Linked DNA regions of Arabidopsis thaliana. The protein of the gene in region 2 purifies or fractionates together with the protein of the main gene of each other region. This does not show direct contact. Each region holds a gene or a part of one and is shown on either strand. Other genes may lie near its edges.

Region 1 (9,865 bases), on a different chromosome or scaffold from region 2:
ACGCTGCTGACTTCTAATGCTCCTTTTCTCTAGTAGATTGGTACCCAGAATTTGAAAATGAGACGGCTACAAGGAGATGATATAAAGGTATGTAACTGAACTGCCACGAGACGAATTTGTTGTAATTGATTATGCCTGGCGGTATCTTTTCATTTTAATGGCTATAAATAATCAACCATGGGATATCAATCTGCTACCAGAGGTTAGAACTGATGGCACATGCTATAAAGGACATTATGGGGCTTTTATATTAATATGTGTCTTAAAAATTTGATTCATCGTTTGTGCCTAATGTTTTTGCAGGCTAGGCACTGGGATTCCTTCTATGATTTCTACAGGAACACAACTGATAACAAGTTTAGTCTTTATCTTTGAGACATTTTTGTTTTTCTTATCATTAGTACACATTATGTGTCTTTGTGCATAATAAACATACTTACATTCAATTACCTGTCATCGTCAAGTGTATGCATTACCTGTGTTTGTCCTTTCACATGCTTAACGATTTCCGGCTAATTTTAGATGGGGCACACCTTATCTCACAAGGGATTTCTTTCACGACATGGCATCGAAGTTGGGAGACAAGGTATTGCTTGTTTTAGCTGAAGAAAACGAGGAACCTGTTGCAGGAGCATTGAATCTCATTGGAGGAGATACTCTATTTGGGAGACTATGGGGATGTCGTCCCGACTCCTATTATCCTAGTCTCCATTTTGAAGCATGCTATTACCAGGTTGGTCTTGTTGTTTCAAAGTCTCAAGAGTTTTCGCCGAGACATACTTGATTAAAACTCACAAACTGATAATGGGATTCATAGGCAATTGAAGCAGCGATAGAGCTTAATCTGAAAACGGTAGAAGCTGGAGCGCAGGGTGAGCATAAGATTCAGCGAGGCTACCTTCCCGTTAAAACATATAGTTGCCATTACATATTCGATGAAGGTTTCAGGCAAGCCATAGACGAGTTTTTAGTGCGCGAATCAAATCAGGTATGTTTTGAAGTTATGGTGTTAAAAGAGTATATAAACATAGCTATGTAATTGGATCATCGACTTAAACAATGTAACTTTGTGCATCGCAGATGGATTATGTCATCAGACTGATGCATGAAGATGGACCCTTCAAAGAGAAAATAGAATAGATGCATTTATATCTTGGTTATCGCAAACATTCTTGTATATCTTAATTCTTAGGTTTATGCGTCAATGTACATTTTAATTTGGCTGCTCATGTTCGTTTTCTGATTTGGTTTTGTTACTTTCTGATCACCAAATGTACACTGACGCCTAATTTAATTTATATAGATTGTGATGTGTGAGGAATACCACATTGATGTCAGCTCCAAAGCTCACCAAGTTTCTCATCTGTAATTTAAAAACTTTAACCCGAGTCTCAGTACAATAAAATGATAATCCAGAAATGTAAAACGAAAAAAGGAAATTTTAATCCAACGAATACAATTTTTCTTTAGACTCAGCAAAATGTATGAATTTGTTTCAATGTGTTCTTCCGTGTGGAGAGTAATGAGGATTAAAGCGTTCTTCCACCTGTAACCAAAGAATTGACAAAAAAATGGTTGTTTCTTTTGTTGCTAAGCAAGCTTCTTGGGTCTACCAACAGAAGGTGTAACATTTTCGTCTTTCTTAGAACCAGGAGCTTCAGGTTTTTTGGCCCAAGCTGGAGCTCGATCTGGCTCATACCGGTAATCGTAAAATAGTTCTTCTCCAGCCAGTATCCTCTCTTTTGCGAAGATCCCCACCCTGTGATCTCCAGCAACCATGATGACCTTGAACAGATACAAAGATTTTGAGGAAAAACAGAACATACCCATCATGCGAAAACCGTATCTTTAACTTGCACTTTTCACATTTTTACCTTTGCGTAACAGTTAGGTTCAGGAGAATGGTTGGCGAATTTCAGTTTATCTCCTTTCCTGTAAGCATCTAGCACAAACTGCAGCACAATCCAAAAACATTTTAAAATTTGAAGACAACCTAGAGACTAGAGAGAAAGAGAGTTGGGACATTTCAAAGCTGCTGAGACGTGCCTGATCGTTTAGATTGAAGAGAAAAGAGCAGTTCTCGCGATCGTATATCTTCCCGCGTTTATCTGCCTCTTTATGTGAGATCAGCTCTCCTGTGTATTCCCCAAGGTATTCATGCTTACTTACACTGTTCTGTAAGAAGGAAAAATAATTGTTCTTAAGGCAAGTTCATACTCTAAACATAGATTAATCTTTGAAGGACTTATCAGTTTAACAAATTTTGAACCTAATATACCTTTAAGAAAGCTCCCCAACCAGAAACATCAGATATTCCAAGTAAAACCTGAAATTAACATAAAAAAGAGGAGGAAATTTAGCCATTTCATGTTTAATCATTTGATTGCAGATCATAGATATTTAGTTAACAAGGCTAAGTATTTACCCTTTGTTGTTGTTTCAGGAGCAATTTCATATTCCTGCACTCATAATTATCGCCTCTTTGGCTTGGGACCCCAAGCGAACCATCCCCACCACTACACATTCAAATTCATTCAGACACAGTATAAGTGCATCTGGAACTACTAAAAAAAAAGTTGCATTTCTTGAGCATTTTCTAAGAAACCAATTAGGATGGATTTGCATCCCCAATAAGACTTACATGACCCAGCAGTTTCTACAAACATCTGGGTCACATTCCCGATCTGCAGCAAAGCATGGACACTGGCGGCTTCGACACTGACTTTTGGCACAATGACAACCTCTAAACCTATTCTTGCAGCTCTTTGGGCAACTACACAGAAAATATAGTTTGTTGGTAATGAGATTCAAAGCTAAGAAATACAGATGTGGATAATCATAGATTACATTACCCGCAGTACTTCTCGCAGCAAGTCCCGTTTAGCAAACAAGGACATTCCTTCCCACAAGCAATTTTGCAGTTACATGGATTAAACTGACGGCAGGGCTGGTCTTTCTTCTCAGTAATTCTTTTCCTAATTGAATGATATGCAGCAGACTTCCAGGTATACTTCAAGCGCCGCACTTTGCCTCTCCTACGTAGAAATCTTGACCTTCTCCTCACTTGGTTATTAACCTGGTTAGTCCAGAAACTAAAGCATTAAATCCGAAGAGAAATAAATCGATTTTATCAGGAATTTGTAAACAAAGTCAAAAAGGTTTAGTGTTAATATACCATATTTCCATTGATATCGAACTTGGAAGAGCCATCAGGATTCAATCCATCACCTCCAAAGAAGGAAGCTTTATTTTCCGAGCACGTCATGTATTGGAAGACCTCCCAACATGATTTGAAACCACTCAAAAGATTTCTAGCAATCAAGCAGCTGCAAAGAAACAAAGAATCCATATGACTATATTCCACAAATTGAAAAACCTGAAGCAGAATGATAATTTAGCAGTAGCTAAATACATCAAAATTACCCACCTATTCATTCCAAAAATCTCAACACCTTTATCAAAAAGGCTTTTCTCAAGTGGTCTCCACAACTTATTTGTAGCCAATCTTCCTCGAGATACAGTTTCACCCATAAACTCTTCTTTCCTTAGACTTTCATCACTACCCGGCGCATCAAGCTCTGACGCAACCTCATTTGACTGGCAAACAGGAACGTCATCCTTCACAGAATTATTGGAGACTTCGGCAGGAGTGCCATTCTTCCTTGACTTCCCGGAGTTCCCAGATTTTACATGCTTCTGAGAAGAGGAAGTAGCATCTTCATTATCTTTATGTTTTGCATCGCTGGGTGAACAACTTCCACTGGCGATGGAATCACTATCCGAGGCTTCTGTCTTCTTCTGCCTCTTCTGAGTCTTACGAGGAACTCGCTCAGCAACTCGGTTTTTGTTCCTCTTACGACCTACTCGTCTCCCACTACCTTTCACCTTTGGCGATGATGAAACTTTATCGGAATTGGTATCCTGCTGTAGTCCATTCTCTGAGTCACTTGTTTCTAGTGCGCACTTTTCATTAGACGATGCACTTTCACTTGGGAAGGTCTTTGGTTTTCTCCCATTAAGTTTGCTGGAGAACTTCGTGGGTGTGGTTTTAGTACCTGCACCATCTGATGAAGTGCCAGTTTTACCTTCAATGGTGCCATATCCCGGAAATCTTCCAGACTTGAGAAGCTGATAAATTGAAAACAACGCTTTTTGTTAAACCAGTCTTTCTAGGAGATGAGCTTAGCAACGAGAAAATAACAAATTTACCGTTTTATAGCAGTTTGCACCACAGGTTAAATTTTCATCTACAGGAGGACACCATGGAGCTGGTTTCTCAGCCTAAAAATCCATAAAATTAGATAAGTAACACTAAAGTTATAGTAAGATTTTTTCGGTTGGCACTAAACTCACCGGAAAAATGAGATCCTGTGAACACCCATGAAGCCGGCAATCAAATACCTGCATAGATGCATACAAAAGTTAAAAAGAGACCAATGTTTGCTCGATCATTAAGCAATAACCCATGAAACATTAGCCTGAGAAAATCAAATGGACTAACAAGGCATCTACGGCAGAACAGGTTATCGAAAGAATCTAATGCTCCTTCCATATCTTTGTTGAGAAGGGAGCTCTCTGCTTGATTATCGCCACTCTCGGATACTTCTTTTTCCTTCATAAGCACTCCATGTCTTGCCTGTATAAGATGGTCGGTGTTCATATCTCTGCAAAAAGCCAATTGGGAAAGGGCTGGAACAATACTAATTGGATTTCCTTAAACAATGCATCCCTCACTCTGTTTTGAAATCCTACAACTGAAGTGCTTGATTCTAAAGAAAATAGCACATGATAGTTCACACAAGCAATAGGCAGAGAAAAAAGTTGTTGATACCTTGATTTCACTAGTACTTCTAGACAAGAAACTTGCTAGTTCCGCCAGGACTGAGTCTGAAAGACCTAGTTGCTCAAGGGTCATGCTGAAGAAACGAAGGGAAATTTAATCCAACAATATAAGTGAGAACAAACCAGCATAACAGTTGACATAGCAGACAAGAGATTCACACTAAGAGACCAAAATGCAAGAATGATTAAACTCCTGCCATTTAATACTAACCGAATAATATAATCTTCAGGCTCCAAAAAATCTCTTTTTTCTTCTTCGTCGTCAATGGCCTCCTCTTCACTATCACTGCAGATAAGCGCTTCCCCGCCAGTTTGATCATAATAAATTCTCCTTCGACCCACTACAGACTGGTCTTCAGTCATTCTTTGATTTCTGCATCATTTCAAGAGTGATTATAACGTTAAGATACTATGCGAGGGGCTTACATTTCAACTTGAATATTTTCAAGTACTCTTGCGACATTAATGTCAACATACCTGTCCAGAAAAACCCATGTGGTATAAGGTGACAAACGTTTGATATCAGGCATTTTGATAGGACGTAAGGAAATTTTGACAGGGACACTAGATCCTTGAACCATTCCTGAACTGGCAGGTCCATCTTCTACATATCTGTTGTTATTACTTTCATCGATTCCGCTTTTCATACCTGGCGAATCTCTTTGCCTCTTAACTAAAAGATCACTGCCATCTTTACAGCTACCTCCTCGTTCCATAGAAGACCTCATAAAACTTTGAGTAATAGCAAACAAATTCTTCTTGTTTTCATCAATCCTTTTCTGGTTACAAACACATCAATTTCTAACAATCAGATTCAGAAACACATAAAACATACAAAAAAAAAACTAAACAAAAATAGCAACCTTTATTGATATACACCTATCAGCTGCAAGCTTCTTCTTTAGCGATTCTATTACTTCTGATACTTCCTTAGAAGCTGGACCTCTCTCCTCCGCCTGAAACATCAAAATGAGGTTCCTTTACACAGTGTTCAATGAGAGAAACTATCAATTGCAGCAAAAATGGTTCCTAAACGAACCCAAAAACAACTTCATATCTCACAATCCAGCAATCTCTAGATCTAAAAACGAGCATATAGAGAAGCTCAAACAAGCCATCGAGTTTCGTTCTCTTCACTCAAACTAAAGCAAATCAAAGTCAATGCCTCAATAGCACAAAGAAAAAAGTTCCATTTTTAGAAAGTAAGAAAAAAAAAAAAAACGATTGACGCACCGGAGAGTCTTTGGGTGGCTCCGATCTGGTGGCCGAAGAAGAAGGCGAAGCTTCTGACGCCATTGTCAAGAAACCAGATCGGAACCGAAACAAATGCGGGTCCGGGTTAAGATCCGGGTCGCGAAATCTGAAATGTTGGAGGAGAGAAGGAATTTGGCGGGTCGTTATAAACCCTAAAAATTTATCTTCAATTTTGTTTTTATTTTGGATCTTTTATCTTCAAATCCAAAAAAAATTTCGTTTTACTTTTAAAGAACATTGTTTACGAATTGGGAAGCGTGTAAATTAGAAACTTTTTCCAATTATTTAAAAAAAAAAAAGTTGGTGGGAAAATAGCGACGTGGCAGCTCGATTTGAATTATCTACTGTACATCTCCGGCGACGGTTTACCGGAATATCACGTAGCTCGAGACAACGAATCTACTAGAGTTCGAGACTGGTTCTATATCAACTGAACAAAACAAACACGAACGTTGCTGGGCTCTGATTTAATGGGCTCTTAAACCCTATTTGTTTGGGCTTTATTTTTTGTTTTTTTTTTCAGCAACAGCTTTTCGAAGTCTCTCTGTAATCTCATCGGACGAGAAACAGTACGGCGATCGGAAAACTCTGAGATGCATCGCGGCGCGGCGGTTTTCGGACGGAAACGTAGACTGATACTTCTCCATGGCAGCAGAAACTTCGCCAGATCCTTTTGCTCTTCTTCTTCACTATCTGGTGAGAGGGATTCACATCTTCGCTATTTCATTTGCAACTTCTGGAAGCTGTGCGATGGCTTGAGATTGGTTTATGATTCTTACGGTGCCGAATTTGAACAATCAGTGAATCGAAGTTAACGATTGATTATGTGCAGAACATGAATGTTTCATTAAGGATATAGCAAAAGCTCAGCCTCCTAAGCATCTGATGCAGCTGCTGAATATATTCACAGCTAGAGGTAAATCAATCTTACACTGACTTGCTGATCGTATTTTCGAAGTTTTTGTTTGTTAACTTGCGGAATGGTGACTTTTGCTTGTGGTAATGACATTGGATCAGGTAAATCCATAGTTTCTCCTGGTGCCAAGCAAGGCTTGTTACCTCTTACTATTCCGTTGGTGAAAATGAGCCCGGGTATGATTCTGGACTTGTACATAAGTTCTTATCTGAGGTTGTAACACTTTCATATTAAGTTTGTATGACTTTCCTTTTTCAGGTTCTTCAATTGCTCTATTACGGTGGCCAACAGCTCCTTCTAGGTTAGATCCTCCTTGCTTTTTTAATATCGTCATGTTTCTCTTCTTTTGTAGCTTATCATTGTTTGTGGTGTTTGCAGTATGGAGATGCCTGTGGTGGAAGTTCAGAAACATGGGGTTTGGTTTCTAGCTAATAATGTAATGAGTCTTTTTATAGCATTACTGATGCGTTAATTTAGGGTTATTTTTGTTGAGTGTTCATTCTCATATCTGACTTCATTGGCCAACATTCAGGTTGATCAGTTCATTCACAGAATATTGGTGGAAGAAGATGTTTCCAAACCCGAAGAATGCAGCCAAGAAATCTTCAATGCTGCTGGTGAAGCTGGGAAGAAACTTTACAGTAAGGGTGACTTTGCCAGTTCAAGACTGATGGATTTAGATGCCTATCTTTTAAGAAAGGTACATATATTGAGCCTGTTAATATCAGAATCTTTTCTGCACATGGATACTGGGATATGATTATTAGCTTTGTAATTCAGGTTGGATTGTTTCCAGATTCTCTTGAACGAAAAGTTATTCGGCATATCGAGAATGGAGACCATGTAAGGCTAGTAATTATATCTATCCTGTTGTAGTTGACGTGTTTTCTCTTTTTAAACTATCTTCACGTGCTAATACAAGGTTTCAGCTTTGGTGGCTACCGAGTTTTATACAAAGAGAGGGAACTTTCCCGGATTTGCCCGGCCATTCGCTTTCAACGCAAAAGTTTTACTGAAGTTCGTATGATCCTTTCTCATCATCCCTCTTTCTCCCTTGTGAACGACCCCCAGGTAAATGCTTACGTCCTTTCTAGAAAACTCTAAGACCTCTATATATTTTGTAGACTTGGGCGTAACTTAGAAGCGAAAGACGCAGCTAGGGGTGCTTTGAAATCTTCGTGGTGGACCTTAGGATGCAGATATGAGGTACAATTCCTTGACTATCGACAAGCAATTTTGGTAATCGAAAAGAGAAGGGAAAAAAGTGTTGAACATATGAAACGGGTTCCCAGGAAATTGCTCAAATAGCAGAGTGGGGAGAAGAGCAAATTGCGCAGTATAAGGAGAGAGTTACAGGAGAAGGAAAACAACGGGATATAGACAGGGGAAAGCCAATGGCTCAGGTTTGTTCTTTGCCTGTATTCATTATCAGATACTCATATCATGCTTATGGATACAAAGGCTTGAAACAAAACTTGTAATTCTCAGGCATCTTTGGACGAGGCTGCGTTCTTACTGAATCTAGCGTCACTTGAAGGGACATGGGACGAATCACTGGAACGGGTTGCTCAGTGCTACAAGGAAGCTGGACTTAACGACATCGCCAAGTTTGTTCTGTACAGAGATTGAGAAGTCTCTTTTAAAGGCCACAATTTGTTCTTTTGAGACCTGAGATGACATTATATCAAATGATCTTATGCATTTAGTGTCTACGTTGAAGATTTACATTAACCCTGCTAAAGATTCATTGGGTCAAGATTACTGATTGTATCCTTTCTGAGACTAAAAGTGGAATAAAGCAGAATGATCATCTTATAGAGTAATACTCTACGTGGAGATTATATATATACTGCCAAAAAAATCTAGAAAATGACAGTTTAGTTTGCATAGTTTGGGTCTTTGGGACCATATAAAGAAACAGGATTAAGGTATTAGATTATAGTCTAGATGACAGATGCCACCATCTTCTTAGTTGGCAAATGGATTAGGGACCTTCTTGCTCTTACCTTTCTTATTTCTCCCCAACAGCTTTCTCCAGAGGCTCTTAACTCCGCCGGTCTTTTTCTGAGGAACAATGGCAAAGCAGTTTGAGTCGGAGCCTTTGCTTTTGTCTGAGAGAAGAATCTGTTCTAGTGCCTCAATGGTTTCATTGTAAACAGAGCTGTTTCCTCCCTTTCCGTTTTTATCTGCTGCTTGCGGTTTCTGATCCTTGGATTCCCCGGTGTTGTGATCTTCTGCCTTCATCTGATCCAAAAGAGATGATCTCTGGCTGGTCAATCTCTTCTCTGGTTTAGTAGTCTCATGTGAAGGTTGTGCATCAGGTAGGTTGTTCGATTTGTCTGTAACGTCGTACATGAGTGTTTCTGAAAGTAAAGCTGTTTCCTTTGAGTTAGTCAATGCCTTGAGCTGCTTTCCCAGGTTTAGAATCGTCTCTTGACACTCGGCCAACTTTTCTGAAGCAGCAGCGATTTCCAATTCCTGAATCATCAAACACATAAAACAGATTGGTCTTGGACAAAAACAACTCTCAATGTAATGGTATCGATTTTCTTCTGCTTGTAACTTACGGTTCGCATGTTTTGTTTTTCCTCCAGCTTGAGCTCGTTCTCTGAAGCACTGCAACAAGAAAACCATTGGATGCATCAGAGATAAAATGTATGATTTTGCTGACATGAAGTCTTTAAGCATTCATATTTACCTCGCTGTTTTGTCATTTGCCTCTTCTTCAACCGTTTTGCGCGACAAGTTTTGATTACCAGGTTTGTCTTCAATCAACTGATCTTTGCAAGCCAAAAAGGAAACATCTTCCGTTCTAAGCTTCTCTGCTTCTGAAACCTGACGAAATATTCCAAT
Region 2 (7,696 bases):
CTCAGCCGTTCTTCCTCCTCTGCCGCAATACGGTCGCTGTCTACGGCGTCTAGCGACCCACCCCATACATTCCCGGGATGCATTTCGAAAGAGCTTGGATGATTAAGGTTTTTTTTGGAGAAGAAATATAGAAAGGATATAAAGAGTTCTTTTTTTCTATGGAAAAAATAAGAAGTCTACTTAATTTTGGTTAATGATCGGTGAGAGGGATTTTATTAAAGAGTGAGTTGACCAAAATTGGGTCTTAGGAAATGGGAACGATGTGTCTATATTGTATATTCTAGTAGAATTGTAATCGAATTTTTTTATATTTATTAGTTTGAAGACTTGTTTCAAATAATTTTAATGTTTTTTTTTGGCAACCAAACATTAATTAAAAAGCAAATAATTTTAGTTTATTGATTTTTTTTTTTGCAATAAGCCTACATCAGATTTTAATTTGAATCGAATATAACTATATGTCCTATGTATTTTTTTGGGGCCTAAAAGAAAAAAATATCAATGTTTTGGTAAATGACATGGTTATAGCTTGGTTTCTACGTTCAACAAAACTCGGGCTACTTGTTGTATACCTTGACAAGATTCTACTAAATCTTTTTTCAGACTTCCAGTCAAGTCTTCTAGGGTTCTTAAGTCGGGTTTTTATTTCGGGTTCTGATTGTCTGATTCTAAAGTCTCTTTAGAGTTTGTCATTTGTTTTTGTTGGTGTGATTGACGTCCTCATTCCTAAGTCCGAACACTATGACTCTGATATGTTATTGACAGAGACAGAGAGTGATAATATAGTTTCTGATAGGGAGGATTTGATAAAACAGAGTGATTACATAATGTTTGTGTTGATCCTTCTTAGTTCTTACCGTCTATAGTTTCCCTATTTTTTTAACACGAAATTTCATAGTTTGTGTAACTTGCGGCAGAAAATATAGATAGCTCACATAGCTATGATCTAAATATGAGCATTCGTGTATATGATTTTATGGTAGCTAGCGTTGTTGACAGGCTGCGGTAAATTGGTCTTCGCTAGATGTTGTGAAGCGTATGGAAAATACTATAATGAGCTAATATCTATTGGGCTTTCATTTAGCTTTCGCTATTTATTAATTGGGCTTGGGCCACCCTTCACAAACTGTTTATTTTGTTCCAAGGATTTTTCAGTTGAGAGATTATGTAAGCAAATTTTGTTTTCTTCACGTAACAGAAATTCGATCTAACTTATGTCGAGATGAATTGCTAAAAGAACCATTATCCCAAGTAAAATGTATTAGAAACCTCATACTTGAATGAGGAACCCTAAAATATGTATAGAGGATTGTGATAATGTACTCACTATCAATATAGTCAGTTATAAGTTAGAATTCTGTTAAAAGTGTTAAAATAATGTTTTGTTTCAAATACTTAGTTTATCAAATAAACTTTTTTAATCTTTTTATGTCACCATGAGTTATCTGAATAAAGATGTTTATATATCCGCAAGACTAGTCAAAAGTGGATAGCTCCATTAACTGTTATAGTGTAACTATTCTAGTGTAACAATTCTTAGAAGTATTTGGTTTTACTATTTTAGTCTTACTTTCTATACTTGATTGTTCAGGTAACATTTTCAAAATTGGAGATGATTTTACTTAATCGTAAACTTATTACTTATATACTAAAAAGCTTGTAAGTAGGGCCCGAAATGTGGAAAACATTGTAATTTAAATCCAAACTAGTTTTAGAAGAAGACGCAATGTATATATAATAATGGAAAAATATGAAAACGATATCAGCCAAACATACTTATTATGAATATTAATTGGAGAGAAGGAGTGTAACCATCCATATGGTGTGAATTCTATGATTTTTGGACCCATTGTTATAAACGAAGGAAGAAGACAAAGAACATGAAGACATGAATAGTTTTATTTCAAAAGTAATGAATAAATATATAAATAAAAGGAATGGTTGTCGTTTGAAAATGGGTACGAGTAAATAGTGTTGCAGACTCTGCTCCAACAGTAATTACAACAATGCAATATGCAACCACGACCCACTTGCTTCTATTCATTTCCCATTCTTGTTCTCTCTCCAAATTGACTAATGTTTTAAATGTTATATGATCATGATAACCATTCTTTTTTCTCTTTGCACGCTTCTTCGTTAGGTTAGGTCGTACGTAAAAAGTGATGACCTAATCGTAGAGACCAACTAAATTTCGGTTCTGATTACTTAATCGAGTGTTTAAATTTGCTTAACTTGACATTTGTTACCAAGAAAGGAGAACTAGTAGTGAAAAAAGAGAGTTTAAAACCTTGACAATCGCTTAACCCAAAGTTTTAGAATATTTCTGCTAGTACATAAGGTAAATGTACACATTTATTGTAGTTGTTGTATTGGTTGAATTTGGCTCTGTTGGTTGAGGTTTCAGATTCATAAAAAAAAGTACTGTAGTTACTAGTAAAAATGAACTTGAATTATGGTTGTATTGTTGTTATACAAAAATGGCACACTTTATGAAACCAACTAAAAACAAGTATCCATTTCTGATAATAACATTTTCGAGGATTTTTAAGATATACAACAAAATGCAGAACTATATACAAAGTCTTGTGTCTTGAGAATGTAACTTCAATTATTAACACCAAAATGTCTAAAAACCTAAAGCATCTAAGAAACGGTGCCACTGTCTCTAACCCCTTTCTCAACAGTTCGATACAAAACTTCCATTAATGTTTTTCTATTCCCTTCACATTTGGAAATTCAAACTAAAAATGCATAAACAAAAAATACTATAACCTCATCTTAAAAATTACTAATGTCCCAGTAACATTAATCTCATAGGGTTACTAATCATGGGTTATCTTTTAAACTCCAAAAACAAAGTAGGTATCATTATATAAACAAGTTTCATGGTATATCTCCTAATTTTCCCGTAGAGGAAAGTATGAAGATATATATAGAGAAGAAAGACAGAGTCCGTGATCACTCACTCTCTCTCTATCTCTATATATCGACACACCATAAAAGTTGTTCTTTCTCTCCGTTTCCTTAGCCTCTGCATCTGGGCGATTTTCTCTTTCTATCTCCCTACACCTTAGGGAGTACTGATCCTAAACTCATCATCTTTCTATGCCTTCCTCTTTTCTTTCACTTATTTTCTTTTCTATTTTTTTTCTTTCTTACTTTGCGTAAAACTAGCGAGTCAAAAATAAAGACACTTGCATGATCCTAATATAATATTATATATTGTAATTAGAGAAAGAGAGAGAAGAGAAGAAAGAAAGTGGCAGTAGATTCTTATGGATTTTGGTATAAAGAAACATGAAAAAATGGGTTTGACCGAAGAAACTTTGAGGACGGTAACTTCATTATCAACTTTTCGACTGTATTTATATTTTAGCTTTTGTCAAACCGTATCATATAATATTAATGCGAATTACTAGTAGAGAGTATAATAATAGTAATAACAAAATGCTTGGTTACTGTATGTAAATCCCTAGACAAAAAGAATAAGAATAAAAAGAGCAAAATTCTTCATCCCAAGATCCATCAGGAGAGTCAGAGTCAGACCCCATCTCTCATTTCCCATCTCTCCTTTTCACATTTATTTCCTTTTTTTTCTTTCTAGATACTTTTTTATTTTGAAATTTAATACTAATAACTATACATTTATTGTTATTATTGTTGTTAGAGTCTATGCTAGGGTCCAAGGGTTCATCCCAATATCCCTTCTTCTCCTTAGAAACTCGCAACTTCTTCACATGGAAATCAATTCCCTCTAGTACCAAATCCTATTACTATTGAAGGTATACTCTATAGTTATTTATTTAGTTAAGTATATATATTAAAAATAAATAACATTAATTAGTACTAGTCTTATCATATTTATTAGCTCATTTTCTTATAAAATACTAATATAATAGGAAATTTAAGCACAAGATGAGCTTTGCCCATCGAGAGCCTCAAAACCCAAAAGTCTCTTCTTCTTCACGAGATCCAATCTTTTGCTTTTTAGTAATTAATTACATCTTCTTCCTTCTCTTCTCTCTTCTTCTTCCCTCTCTCATACCTACCTATAAGCAACACAAAGAACACCATTGATCCCATCTGTTTTGTTCCCTATATTTCGTTAATCCATCCATACGCATTCCAACTACACGGTACAAATTTCCATCTCTTTTTAATTTGTTTTTATAATGATTTTAAATCTCTCAGGTTGTCTCTAGACTCTTAGGTCTAGTTACCAAAATTTGACTAGCAATCATATAGCTACAAGTTCCTCTATATCATATAGCTACACATATCTCTAGGTCTGAAATGATCTTTTATCTCCCAAGCATATATTATATATTTGGATGCATACCTTTATGTTTGACTTTCGAAAAGCACCTTCATGTTACTCATTTTTTCCTCTATTTGCTTTCAACAGTTGACAAGAAGGTTGGATCAGTATATATAAGTATACATATACACTTATGTGTGTGTGTAGTGTATGTGCATATATAGCTCACCAAATATCTTTAATACTACTAATTGCAAAGTTTCTCTTATTTTACAGCTTTTTGTATGCAACCCCAAATAGCAGCTTAAAGAAAGCAGAGAGGATCTTCTTTTATTTCCCCTCTGAGCAACAGAAGCCATTATTCAAAGAAAGGCTTCTTTAATTTACTCGCAGGTAAAAGCTTTCTTATTCTATAGAGATTGAACAACTTTTTTTTTTTTTTAATTGACAACAATAAAGATTGAGCAACTTCTCTACATTATTTCTTTCTTTATTTTCTCACTTAATTTCATATTTGATTACAAAAACAGATAATGTAATATCTCCAAAATCACAATTGATTTCATAATATCTTTTTTTGTTTCCTTATACCTTCTACCTCCAAAAACTAAATTCAAAAACCCTTATTTCTCTCAATTTTCAATGGCGGCTTTGTGTAGGGAGAGGGAAAAGAGAAAAAATTGAAAAACTCCATTTTCAAGTCATTAAAATGGCATCTTCTTCAACAAACTCACCATGCGCCGCTTGCAAATTCCTCCGGCGAAAATGTCAACCGGAATGTGTATTCGCGCCCTATTTCCCACCGGACCAGCCACAAAAATTCGCAAACGTTCACAAAGTGTTTGGAGCAAGTAACGTGACAAAGCTCCTCAACGAGCTTCACCCTTCACAACGTGAAGACGCAGTGAACTCTTTGGCCTATGAAGCCGACATGCGCCTCCGTGACCCTGTCTACGGCTGCGTCGGCGTCATCTCTCTCCTCCAACATCAGCTTCGTCAGCTTCAGATAGATCTCAGCTGTGCTAAATCTGAGCTCTCTAAGTACCAAAGCCTCGGTATCCTCGCCGCCACTCATCAGAGTCTTGGCATCAACTTACTCGCCGGAGCAGCAGATGGAACAGCCACCGCCGTGAGAGACCACTATCACCACCACCAGTTTTTTCCTAGAGAACAAATGTTTGGTGGCTTGGATGTTCCGGCCGGTAACAACTACGACGGTGGGATTCTTGCCATTGGACAGATCACTCAGTTTCAGCAGCCGAGAGCCGCCGCTGGAGATGATGGTCGCCGTACTGTTGATCCGTCTTGAGATTTTAGGGTTTTGGTGGTGTTCATCTTCGTCGATCGCTTGGTGATGAGAAAACTATAATTTTAAGAAAATATTTGATGTGGAAAACCAAAATATTTTAAACGTATGGTACGTCTCTCTTAATGACATTAATTTCGGTTTTTATTATTATTATTACTTAGATATATTATGATAGTCACTTTTGTATTTCTTTCAAATTTTATGGACTTGCTCTCTTAATTGATATCACATACTTGCATTATAGAGTATATTATTTCCAAATATGTCGAGTCTATTGATCCGCATATGTACCTCCAGCAAGAATATAGACCTAAATTCAGTTAATCATTGAGTGATTTTAATGGTTAATGTTAGACTTCTTAAGTATTTAAAAAACATTATTAGTAAAAATTATGAATATGAAATATAGTGTATACCATGTAGATAAATGTATTATAGTGTTTTCCTTTTATTTTTTTTGTAGTTCAAATTTTAAAATTAAATAATAAAGGAAAACTATTAAAAACATTTAAAATTGACATATTTATATAAATGATATTTGCAAGAAAAGAGGTTTGATGTGGAACACTGTCAGCGTCAAGGATAAGATTTGATGTAAGAAGAGGCTTAACGGAATATAACATGAACATGAAACATCTTATCTCCGGGCGAATTATACCCACTAGCTCTTTCTAGGCTTTCTCTCTAATTAAAAAGTCTCCTTCATCTATTTATGATGACTCTATTTATTGTTGTTGTAAATACTAATTGTCACATCAACTAATTTAGTTTTTTTTGATAAAGTTACTAGTTCCTTATTTTACTATTTGGGTATAGTAATATGCAAAATCTCAATTAAATTACTGGTGCTATTACTCTATATGCAAGTTGAAAATTCACAGAAAAAGTTAGTGATATAGAGGGCGCCTTTCACAAAACCTACAAACATATATTAGTGAAAAGAATTTTAATAAACAGATATGATCAGTTATTTTCAAAAACTAAAAAATTACAAAAAAAAATTACAAAGACCTCTGAATATATACCCATCAACGAAGATTTTCAGAAGATAAAACTAAATTAGTATCTTGTAAATACAAAAAATAATAATTTTCAGCATACTTTGTAAAATACTAGCTATGATTGGTAACATTTCGTAATCCCCCAGATGCTATAAATAAAACTAACTTATGTGGTGGGATGAAACTTTGTGAGTTAAACGTTTCTTAATGAATTATGGAAAATGAACTAATAAGCTGATTGAAATCAAAGTAAAAACCTTGTTTAAAGATAGTTTCTTTCTTTTTCTCTGATTGCTTTAAAAAGAAGGAAACTTGTTTAGTTAAAGACGCGTTTTTTTTTCTTCGTCTTGCGTTTCACAATGCAACTGTATCTAGTCAATTCAATTGCATTATTATTGTCAACTAGTCAATCGCATTTAAGATACATAACAATGATGATTATAGTATCTATATTTACACTTTTATTGATTTATTCATTAATTAAAGATATTTAATGACAAGTATCGACACAATTCCCAGTGTTGACCAAAATCCCCCAAATTTTCAGAGTACTTTTGAAGAAACCCTAAAGTAAAGGATTGTCAATATGGTTTGCTCGCTTTGCATCTGTCGCCCGCACGGTTGCATCATCTATTTTCTTTTTACTTTATTACACCATAAATAAATGTAATAAAATTAACCTTTTTTTTAATCTTTCATTCCCTAAAAGGTCTACCAAAGCAGTCCATTGACATCGGAATTCCTATTAGATATTCGATTAATTAAAACCCCTGAGAGCTTCTAACAAGAATTACATCTAAGTACTTACAAAATTTTACATTATTTCTTGATTTTTTTTCTTTCACATAATCTCATTCTAGTTAAATATTATATTAAATATATTATATTTAAACCATTCATTCATAATAACACATATTTTTGATTATATCATTATAATACATATATAAGTAATAACCATTTAAATAATGCTTTTAACAATTGATCATTGTTGAAAGTTGAAACGAATAAGTAACTGGATCAGACTTTGATCGGTGCAAAACATTTTAGAGTATGGATAGGTATAAAATTAACAACTTAAAGAACTAAAAAATATATTTTGAGTTAGTTTGCCTGAATCACTTAATGTAA

Evidence for each region.
Region 1: the proteins of AS2 (region 2) and CLF purify together in Arabidopsis thaliana (affinity purification with western blotting, with the first as the bait; one study listed by BioGRID). This does not show direct contact.

What each region holds. Positions count from the first base shown.
Region 1 is NC_003071.7:9,951,843-9,961,707, reverse strand, and holds CLF (SET domain-containing protein), read right to left. Parts: upstream 6,617-9,865; 5' UTR 6,139-6,616; coding exon 6,076-6,138; intron 5,799-6,075; coding exon 5,706-5,798; intron 5,622-5,705; coding exon 5,320-5,621; intron 5,216-5,319; coding exon 5,054-5,215; intron 4,917-5,053; coding exon 4,832-4,916; intron 4,695-4,831; exon of another isoform or gene 4,661-4,694; coding exon of another isoform or gene 4,637-4,660; coding exon 4,502-4,636; intron 4,402-4,501; coding exon 4,354-4,401; intron 4,282-4,353; coding exon 4,210-4,281; intron 4,129-4,209; coding exon 3,428-4,128; intron 3,327-3,427; coding exon 3,176-3,326; intron 3,077-3,175; coding exon 2,853-3,076; intron 2,774-2,852; coding exon 2,642-2,773; intron 2,517-2,641; coding exon 2,426-2,516; intron 2,327-2,425; coding exon 2,279-2,326; intron 2,176-2,278; coding exon 2,047-2,175; intron 1,953-2,046; coding exon 1,875-1,952; intron 1,786-1,874; coding exon 1,591-1,785; 3' UTR 1,322-1,590; downstream 1-1,321. Other genes in the region: AT2G23390 (acyl-CoA), read left to right, coding at 37-87, 304-356, 523-733, 818-988, 1,081-1,140; AT2G23370 (cyclin delta-3), read left to right, coding at 6,690-6,792, 6,929-7,012, 7,114-7,188, 7,271-7,313, 7,391-7,448, 7,545-7,712, 7,793-7,855, 7,935-8,029 and 3 more; AT2G23360 (filament-like protein (DUF869)), read right to left, coding at 8,981-9,490, 9,580-9,628, 9,711-9,865. UniProt on the Arabidopsis thaliana protein: Polycomb group (PcG) protein. Catalytic subunit of some PcG multiprotein complex, which methylates 'Lys-27' of histone H3, leading to transcriptional repression of the affected target genes, mainly abscisic acid (ABA) responsive elements.
Region 2 is NC_003070.9:24,395,179-24,402,874, forward strand, and holds AS2 (Lateral organ boundaries (LOB) domain family protein), read left to right. Parts: upstream 1-2,964; 5' UTR 2,965-3,335; exon of another isoform or gene 3,336-4,136; intron 4,137-4,139; exon of another isoform or gene 4,140-4,534; 5' UTR 4,535-4,651; intron 4,652-4,917; 5' UTR 4,918-4,967; coding exon 4,968-5,567; 3' UTR 5,568-5,808; downstream 5,809-7,696. Other genes in the region: KOR2 (Six-hairpin glycosidases superfamily protein), read right to left, coding at 1-83. UniProt on the Arabidopsis thaliana protein: Negative regulator of cell proliferation in the adaxial side of leaves. Regulates the formation of a symmetric lamina and the establishment of venation.